2 linked regions of the Coturnix japonica genome follow. The protein of the gene in region 1 binds, or shares a complex with, the protein of each later gene. Links are inferred from orthologs where the notes say so. Each region holds a gene or a part of one and is shown on either strand. Other genes may lie near its edges.

Region 1 (4,060 bases):
CCCCTCGGAGCGTGCAGGTACAAGCAGGGGCCATGCCCTGAGGGCTGGGCACACCTCACCTTTTCCGGTTGTGTATGGCTGCCCCACCCTGGCATTTAAAGAGATGACACAGAGCGGGTGGAGGCGGGGATGGCTTGGGAACGTGTTGCAATCCTTACCTTTCTCCCAGCTCTGCCACGGGAGAGATTTGCTCAACTCCCAGCTGACACAGAATGAAACAAGACGCAGCTCTGTGTGGAGCTGCTCTCCTGGCTGATGTAAGACTTGCAGGCCGCCTTGCTCAGGTGCTTCTTTGCTCTTTGTTACTTTCCCCCTTTAATATACAATACAACCCCTGTGCCCGTGTGTGTCTCTTCAGTGTGTGACATCCCCAGCTCATCCTCATGCAAGCAATGTTTGTCCATCAGCCCGCACCCATCAGTGCGTTCAGATCACAACCAGCGATGCTTTATGACCTACCAGTTCCTGTCATGGAGTGTCACTAAGGGCTCGTGGTCACTCATTTTAATTAGATAAAGGATCTAATTAGTGCAGCCGTTCTGGTTCTGCAGCACTCAACAGCAGCGATGTGCCCAGAGGAGAGCAGCCCTTCGGAACCAGATTCATTTGGAGAGCTGGATCCCAGCAGCAGCTGCAGCCTGTTATTGCTGCATGTGTTTGGCCATGCAATAGCAATGATAGCAGCAAGGAAGCACTGAGAACCACGGTGTCTCCTGGTTTGCAGCAAGGACTGAACCCATGGCCCATATCCACACAGCAAGGACTGAACCCATGGCCCATATCCCCACAGCAAGGACCGAACCCATTGCCCATATCCACACAGGACTGAACCCACTGCCCATATCCCCACTGTAAGGACTGAACTCACTGCCCATATCCCCACTGCTGCCCTTGGTTTGTAGAAGCTCAAGGCCCATCTCCCAGCTGTGCTGAGCCTCGGCCACGTCCAGAGCCAAGGGCAGGGATAGAGCAGAGGGCAGAACAGCGTGTCCTTGTGCGGGGACAGCCAACACCTGGTCCTATGGTCGGTGCTGTGAGCGGCCCCACCATCCCCCCTATGGCCCCACCGCCCCTCCAGCCTCGCTCCACGTGCTCCCAGCGCGCCACTTCCGCGCTCTCACGTGGTTCCGGTAGCCCCGCCCCCCGAGGGGCGTGTCCAATAGGAGCAAGGGGGCGTGGCCGAGCGGGACCGAACCGCAGCGCGATGGGGGGCGGGGCTAAGGGGGTCGCGCATGCGCCATTGAGCCGGGAGACGGCGGCGAGGGGGCGGGAAGGGCGGACCGGAAAGAGAGAGGGGAGGAAAGGAGAGGAACGGGACGGGATAGAACAGCGGGACCGGGCCGGGAGCACGGCGACGTGAGCGGGACCGGACGGGACGGGCTGAGCGGGGCTGCGAGGAGCGGCCTGAGGTGGAGGAGCACAGGCCGTGAGGTGAGCGGAGCTGCCGGCCACACAGCGCGGCCCTGCAGCACCACACACCCCATATACCTCCATACATCCCCACACACCCCCATACACCCCATACATCCCCATACACCCCCATTTCCCCTTCCCCCCCCGGCCCCTTTCCTCCTCTCGCAGCCATTTTCGCCTTTTTTCCCCCCTTTTATCCCCCCCTTGTTGGAGGTTGCGGCCCGACCCGGAGCTGCGATGAGCCTGAGGGGAACAAAGGTGCTGAGCTGCTGTAGGGCCCGTGTGTAGTGATGTGTGTGTGCGGGACAACAACAGGGGGATGGGGAGCTCGGGGAGCGGGGCCAGAGGAGGCCGCTAAGATGCTCAGAGGATGGAGCAGCTCCTGTGAGGAAAGGGTGAGGGAATGGGGCTGGTTTGGATTGAGAAGAGAAGGCTGCAGGGAGACCTCACTGTGGGCATCCAGTACTTGAAGGGAGTGAATAAACAGGAGGGGGAACGGCTGTTTGTGAGGGTGGGCAGTGATAGGACAAGGGGGAATGGTGTTAAACTGAGACAGGGGAGGTTGAGGTTGGATCTTAGGAGGAAGTTTTTTCCCCAGAGGGTGGTGACGCACTGGAACAGGTTGCCCAAGGAGGCTGTGGATGCCCCATCCCTGCAGGCATTCAAGGCCAGGCTGGATGTGGCTCTGGGCAGCCTGGGCTGCTGGTTGGTGACCCTGCACACACGCAGGGGTGGTTTAAGGATGAGCACCTGTGGGCCTTTGCAACCCAGGACAGAGCTGTGGCCTTAACACCAAAACAACCCTCAGCTCTTTTCTCAGCCCCCTCCCAGCATAAAGCGAAGCTTCCTTTCAGCTATGGCATGAGCTCTTTGCTGCTGTAACAGCAATAGGTTTCACATACAGGTGTGATACATCCTATGCAAGGCAGAGGGAGGCCGGGCTGCCACCAGCTCAGTGCTGTGTGCTCACTGACAGTGGTGCTCTGCTGCCTGTCCCTCCAGGCAAGAATTAAACACACAGATGGCACAAAAGAGCAGAGAATCCATCGTGGCTTTTCTTGTTTTTCTCTCAGGAGCATTAAAGTAGCGCTCAAATACCAGAATCTGAGTGATGAGTGAAGCTCGGCGGTCTCTCTGCACGGCTATACCACTGTTGGTTTGTTCAGCACAACCTGTGGAGTCATATCATACAGTGGCCTGGGTTGCAAAGGACCCCCAAAGCTCATCCAGTCCCAACCCCCTGCTGTGTGCAGGGTCAGCAACCAGCAGCCCAGGCTGCCCAGAGCCACATCCAGCCTGGCCTTGAATGCCTGCAGGGATGGGGCATCCACAGCCTCCTTGGGCAACGCCTTTGGTTTCAGCCCTTCCCACCCGCTGTTGCTCTGGGGCTGCCGTGTTCTTCCCTCTCGCTGCCCTGTCCTGGATTGCTGCATTGAAATGAGGCTTTTAAGGAGCAGAAGGGAGTTCTGCAGTGCAGCCCTCAGCTGTGTTGGCTGTGAGATGTTATTTTGCAGCCCAGATACCAGAAAGGAGTGGAGGGATGGGCATGGAGCTGATGTCTTCAGGTTGTGCTTTGTGTCCTCAGGTGACCGCCCAGCGCTGACGTTTCGGGATGGCCGGTGCCTTTACTGCAGAGCTGGATTCCCTTGGGAAGAGCAGGGAAATCTGAGGCTCCTGCCCATTGAACGGTGAGTTACAGCTGATGTGGGAGAGCAGCAATGAATGAGGAGAACATCCAGGCTGGATTTGGCTCTGGGCAGCCTGATCTGGTGGTTGGTGACCCTGCACATTGCAGGGGTTGAAACCAGATGATCATCGTGGTCCTTTTCAACCCTATGATTACATATGAGGAGGAGGGTTGCATTTCTTCTGTTAAAAACTGAATTAATCTTGTGTGGTCCATTGTGATAAAGATGCCGTGGGGATAATGGTGGGTCTGTTCTCAGAAGACAATGTTGGAGTTAGGCTTTGTTATCTAACAGCGTCGTTTGGGGGTTGTTTCACTGCTGGGGAGAAAGAGCTGAATGGGTTGGCAGCCCTGGCTTTTAGTTGTGGATTATTAGAAAGGAAAATATTTAGCTGTGTGTGATGCTGGAGATAACAGAGGGCTCCCTTTGTCCGATGCTCACAGCCCTTCTTGCTTATTCTGCCTTGCCAAACGTTTCTTCTGTAATCCAGAACCTGCTGAAAATCAATCCCATGCAGGTGAGTCACCTTACAGGTGCTTGAATTCACTTGTGCCTCCTGAGCGGGGCAGATGTTAGGGAGCACTCTTGTCTTTTTGTCCTGAAAACGGTTCTGATTAATGGTTTTTTGTGGCTTTTTTTCTATTTTTTTTTTTTTTTTTTGAGGGAACAACACAGGGAAATACATCCAGGGTTCTTCATTCTCACTTCCCTTTACATGCAGTGTGTGGTCAGCGTGGTGGCTGTGGGCTCTCATTTCTGTCGCTTGGCATCCTGCCTGTGAGTAGCTGCTAATTAGCAGGCAGGGCTTCCAGCCCTCCGGGGTTCAGCGTGAGAGCTGTGCTGGAGCTGTGGGAGCTGGAGGGAGGCTCTGTGTGCAGCAGGACGGGCACCACCCCACAGAGCCACATGGGAGCAGTTCTGCTCTGTTAGTTCTGCTCTGTTCCTTCTGCTCTAGGAGC
Region 2 (3,569 bases), on another chromosome or scaffold:
ATTGTTTAAATTACTATTTTTTTATGTGTGTGCTTGTTTTGCCATGTGTGTTTTGATTCGTGTGCTTAAAAGATTTGTTTTGGTTACAGCAGTTGACGAAATCAAGCTAGTCTTTGTTTTGGTTGAGCATTGCCGGAGCTTTAATTTTTTTGGCCTTTCTTCTTTCATGTTTCCACAGCTGTGATTGGGTTATTGTACCCATGCATGGACAGACATCTGGGAGAGCCACATAAATTTAAGAGAGAATGGTCCAGTGTAATGCGGTGTGTAGCAGTCTTTGTGGGAATAAATCATGCCAGCGCTGTATCCTATGTTCCAATGAAACTGCATTTTTCAGGTGTTACCCCATTCCACAGATGTAGCCTCGATGCTGAGAGGATAGTTACCTTTCTTGTGGTATAAACTGATTTGAAAGGATGTTTGTATTCTCTGGAGCTCATTCCTTTCACTGTCAGCTCCAGCACAGCAGAAGTGTGTGGTGGGAGTGCTAAAAGAGGCTACTGAATTTCCTGATTTACAGGAAAAGAGCACAGGTTCTGTGAATGATGTGAGAGCTGACAGAGCTCTTACTGAGGTGGCCCTTAGATATTTTTGTTGTTGTTGCAAGGATGGCTTGTGGGAGCAAAACCAATCCAGCATGGCCAGACAAGCTGGGGCTGCTGAGGTTGAGTCATTCGTGGTGTCTCTCACAGACCTTGTTTGTTTTCTTTTTGTCAAAGATTTGTTGATGTAGTCCTGTAGTTCTCATCAGCCTTGGACTATACCTGCTCAGTGAGCAAATACAACTTTGTTGCTTTGGAGAAATGTGAAAGAATTGACAGCGTTTTTCACATGGTTCAAGTTATTTGCAACAAACCTTGCGGTTTTATAACAGCTGTTACAAAAATTCCAGAATAACATTAATGTACTGTCTGTGTTTCCTCCTTGACAGCTCTTCCAGAAAGCTGTCTTTTTAGTTTATTATTGGCTCTGCACATTACCATATTTGGTGTGGCTTTGGTTCATTTGATATATTTTCTGATGCTATTGATTTTTTTTATCCTGTAATTGATTAATTTTACTGATTAGTCGAACATCTAATTTCCTTGAGCTCCCTCCAGGCTGTTGTGAGAAAGTAGGACAGTGATTTTATGTTTTCATCCCACAAATTTGCTTTCAGACTTTAGAAACTCATCAGCCTCCTTTTCAGCACTCTCTCTTGGAAACAAATAGCGAGGATGAGTTGGTATTTCCAAAACATTTTGAGGAAGGTGAAATAATACAAATAGCTTCAGTCATTATTACATTTTTCATAAATCTGATACTCAGTGTTGAATACTTTCATGTTAGTATTATCTACATTTCATTTTTAAGAAAGCATTTAATGTTTTGCTGAATGCAAAGTACCATGTCATTTAAACATAATAGAAGAAAGAGTGACAAGTATCTTTTTTTTTTTTTTTTTTCCCCTCCAGTAAATCTCTGCCATTTAAAGGAGTCTAATGGCAGAATTAAGATTTTATGTGTAGTGAAATAGAGGAGCAGAAAAGGATGGCAAGTCCTTATTCTGAACAGTACTAATTTGCATTTTTTTTTCTGCATCTGAAACTGTGGTGTTATTTGGCAAGTATATAGTCCTGGCTCTTTTACAGTACTAAGACACTAAAAACATGAAGAAGAGCCTTCAGTTGTTTCCCGATATGTTGGCAACATTTAAAAGGCTTATTTCCTTCTTCATCTTAGGTGCGTGGTAACAGATACAGCTACTGCTGTATTTTTATGGTGGGAAAAACTGTTACGTTAAAGTATGATGAACAGAACCAAGAGAACTACTTTACATTTGTATTTGGTATTTCCAAGCTTTTCCTTAACAATTAACACAGAAAGTGGATTTTGCCAACAATATCCAGTTGTCTCTCACGTTAGCAGCTCTGTCAATTGGGTTATGGTGGACGTTTGATAGATCACGAAGTGGCTTTGGTCTTGGAGTAGGAATTGCTTTCCTGGCCACATTGGTGTCACAGCTTCTGGTCTACAATGGAGTTTATCAGTAAGTATTTATTTCTTTGAGGCTAGCTAGTAGTATCCTGAATCTGTAATACAAAGTCAGAATAACTGAAGGGGCTGAATTTGATGTGAATTGTAAAACAGTCAGAACTTAATTTGGGGAGTAAAATACGTTTGTGAAAGCTCTGTATTAAGACTTTCAGTTAGGAGTTGCTTAATTCAGTAAAATTGCTGCTTTTATCAACAATGTTACTTACTTTAAGCAATTACGTTTCTATAATAGTAGCATTTTGAGTTGAAGTGTCTATAACTTAAGCCTATAGATTTGTTTCCTGTGATTGAAGAATTCTCCTCTATGTATGGCACAAGTTTGAGCTAAAAAACTGTTCTTTTCCAGATATACATCACCAGATTTCCTTTATGTTCGTTCCTGGTTGCCATGTATATTTTTTGCTGGTGGAATAACGATGGGCAATATCGGCCGGCAGCTGGCAATGGTAAGTGTGGGGGAGGACTGACTGCCTTCTAGTGATACTTCTGATCTCCACGTCCCTGCTTCCTTTGTACATACCAATCAGTTATTTGAACTTGGGCTGCAGGATGAGGTACAAACTGGTAATAGTTGCTTTTTGATTTGGTTAGTGAGCCATCAGTGCTTTTAATAGGAACGTGGCTCATTGCTTTGCTCTGTATGCTGGGGTGCATGCTTTTGTCTCAGAAGCTAAATGAGAGCACCAGTGTTCGGGCAGAAGTCAAACCACTCCTTAGTCTGTACTATTTCTGCTGCTCACGGAGACAGAAATCACAGCCAGCACTGTTTGCTTAGAACTTAGGGAGACCAAGCTTAACTGGGTAAAGTAGTAAGTTGAGCTATTTCAGTTTATACTGTAGAAAATTCCCCTTCATAGCCTTTTTTTATTAGTTATGTACATAATTATTATTGTTTTGCCAATTTCTGTTTTTCAGTATGAATGCAAGGTCATTGCAGAGAAGTCTCACGAGGACTGAGGAGAAACAGTATGCACCTTTAAAACAGGAAAATATCTGACAAATGACTGTTGGAGGAGCATAAGGAACACTTGACTATGAAATTGCCAAAATGCAATTTTTTTCCCCTTCAGTGGTATATTTTACTGCAATCTGTGATTGCTGCTTCTATAGAAACCTTAATGTCTGATTTTTGATTACTGTGAAGTTACAATAGTATGCAATACATTTGATAATGTTGGTTCAATTATAGGATTCTTTTTTCCAAATCTAAACTGAGTTTACCGTAACTTCTTGTCTGTCCATAATGTTGCAGTGCCAAACTGAACCTTTGCACTATGTTTCTGTAGCTGCAACTTCTGCTTCACTTTATCTTGAAAGTTTTGAGGAATTTGTTCTTAATAGCTCAGTGAAAAATATGGGATTCAGACTTAGGAATGAAGATCTCTTTACCTGATGATAGCTAGTAATACATTTAAGAAATACATGGATTGCAAGTGGGCCTTGATGCAATAAGTAACTGATTTCCGCCTATTAACGCACTATCATTCACATCACAGATGAGGAGGCTTAGTATGAATTGTGTAGTTTATTGC

The links. The genes of interacting proteins can lie anywhere in the genome.
Region 2: the proteins of SCAP (region 1) and INSIG2 are in contact, whole or in part, in a cryo-EM structure (PDB 7ETW), measured with the Homo sapiens proteins. The link is inferred for Coturnix japonica from reciprocal best matches to the Homo sapiens genes SCAP and INSIG2. Residues at the interface, in NP_036367.2 of Homo sapiens: Pro200, Ser206, Val282, Ala283, Glu284, Ile286, Pro287, Thr290, Ile294, Ala297, Tyr298, Phe301, Lys305, Tyr351, Val354, Val355, Glu359, Thr409, Leu410, Val411, Ser638, Tyr639; in NP_001308258.1 of Homo sapiens: Phe41, Val45, Leu48, Leu49, Ile51, Val55, Leu57, Phe58, Pro59, Val62, Ser65, Ile66, Glu104, Trp105, Ser106, Met109, Arg110, Val112, Ala113, Val114, Val116, Gly117, His120, Gln132.

Annotation. Positions count from the first base shown.
Region 1 is NC_029517.1:772,604-776,663, forward strand, and holds the start of SCAP (sterol regulatory element-binding protein cleavage-activating protein), read left to right. Parts: upstream 1-1,250; 5' UTR 1,251-1,431; intron 1,432-2,998; 5' UTR 2,999-3,101; intron 3,102-4,060. UniProt on the Homo sapiens protein: Escort protein required for cholesterol as well as lipid homeostasis.
Region 2 is NC_029522.1:18,248,191-18,251,759, forward strand, and holds part of INSIG2 (insulin-induced gene 2 protein), read left to right. Parts: intron 1-178; coding exon 179-303; intron 304-1,862; coding exon 1,863-2,029; intron 2,030-2,383; coding exon 2,384-2,483; intron 2,484-2,952; coding exon 2,953-2,994; 3' UTR 2,995-3,569. UniProt on the Homo sapiens protein: Oxysterol-binding protein that mediates feedback control of cholesterol synthesis by controlling both endoplasmic reticulum to Golgi transport of SCAP and degradation of HMGCR.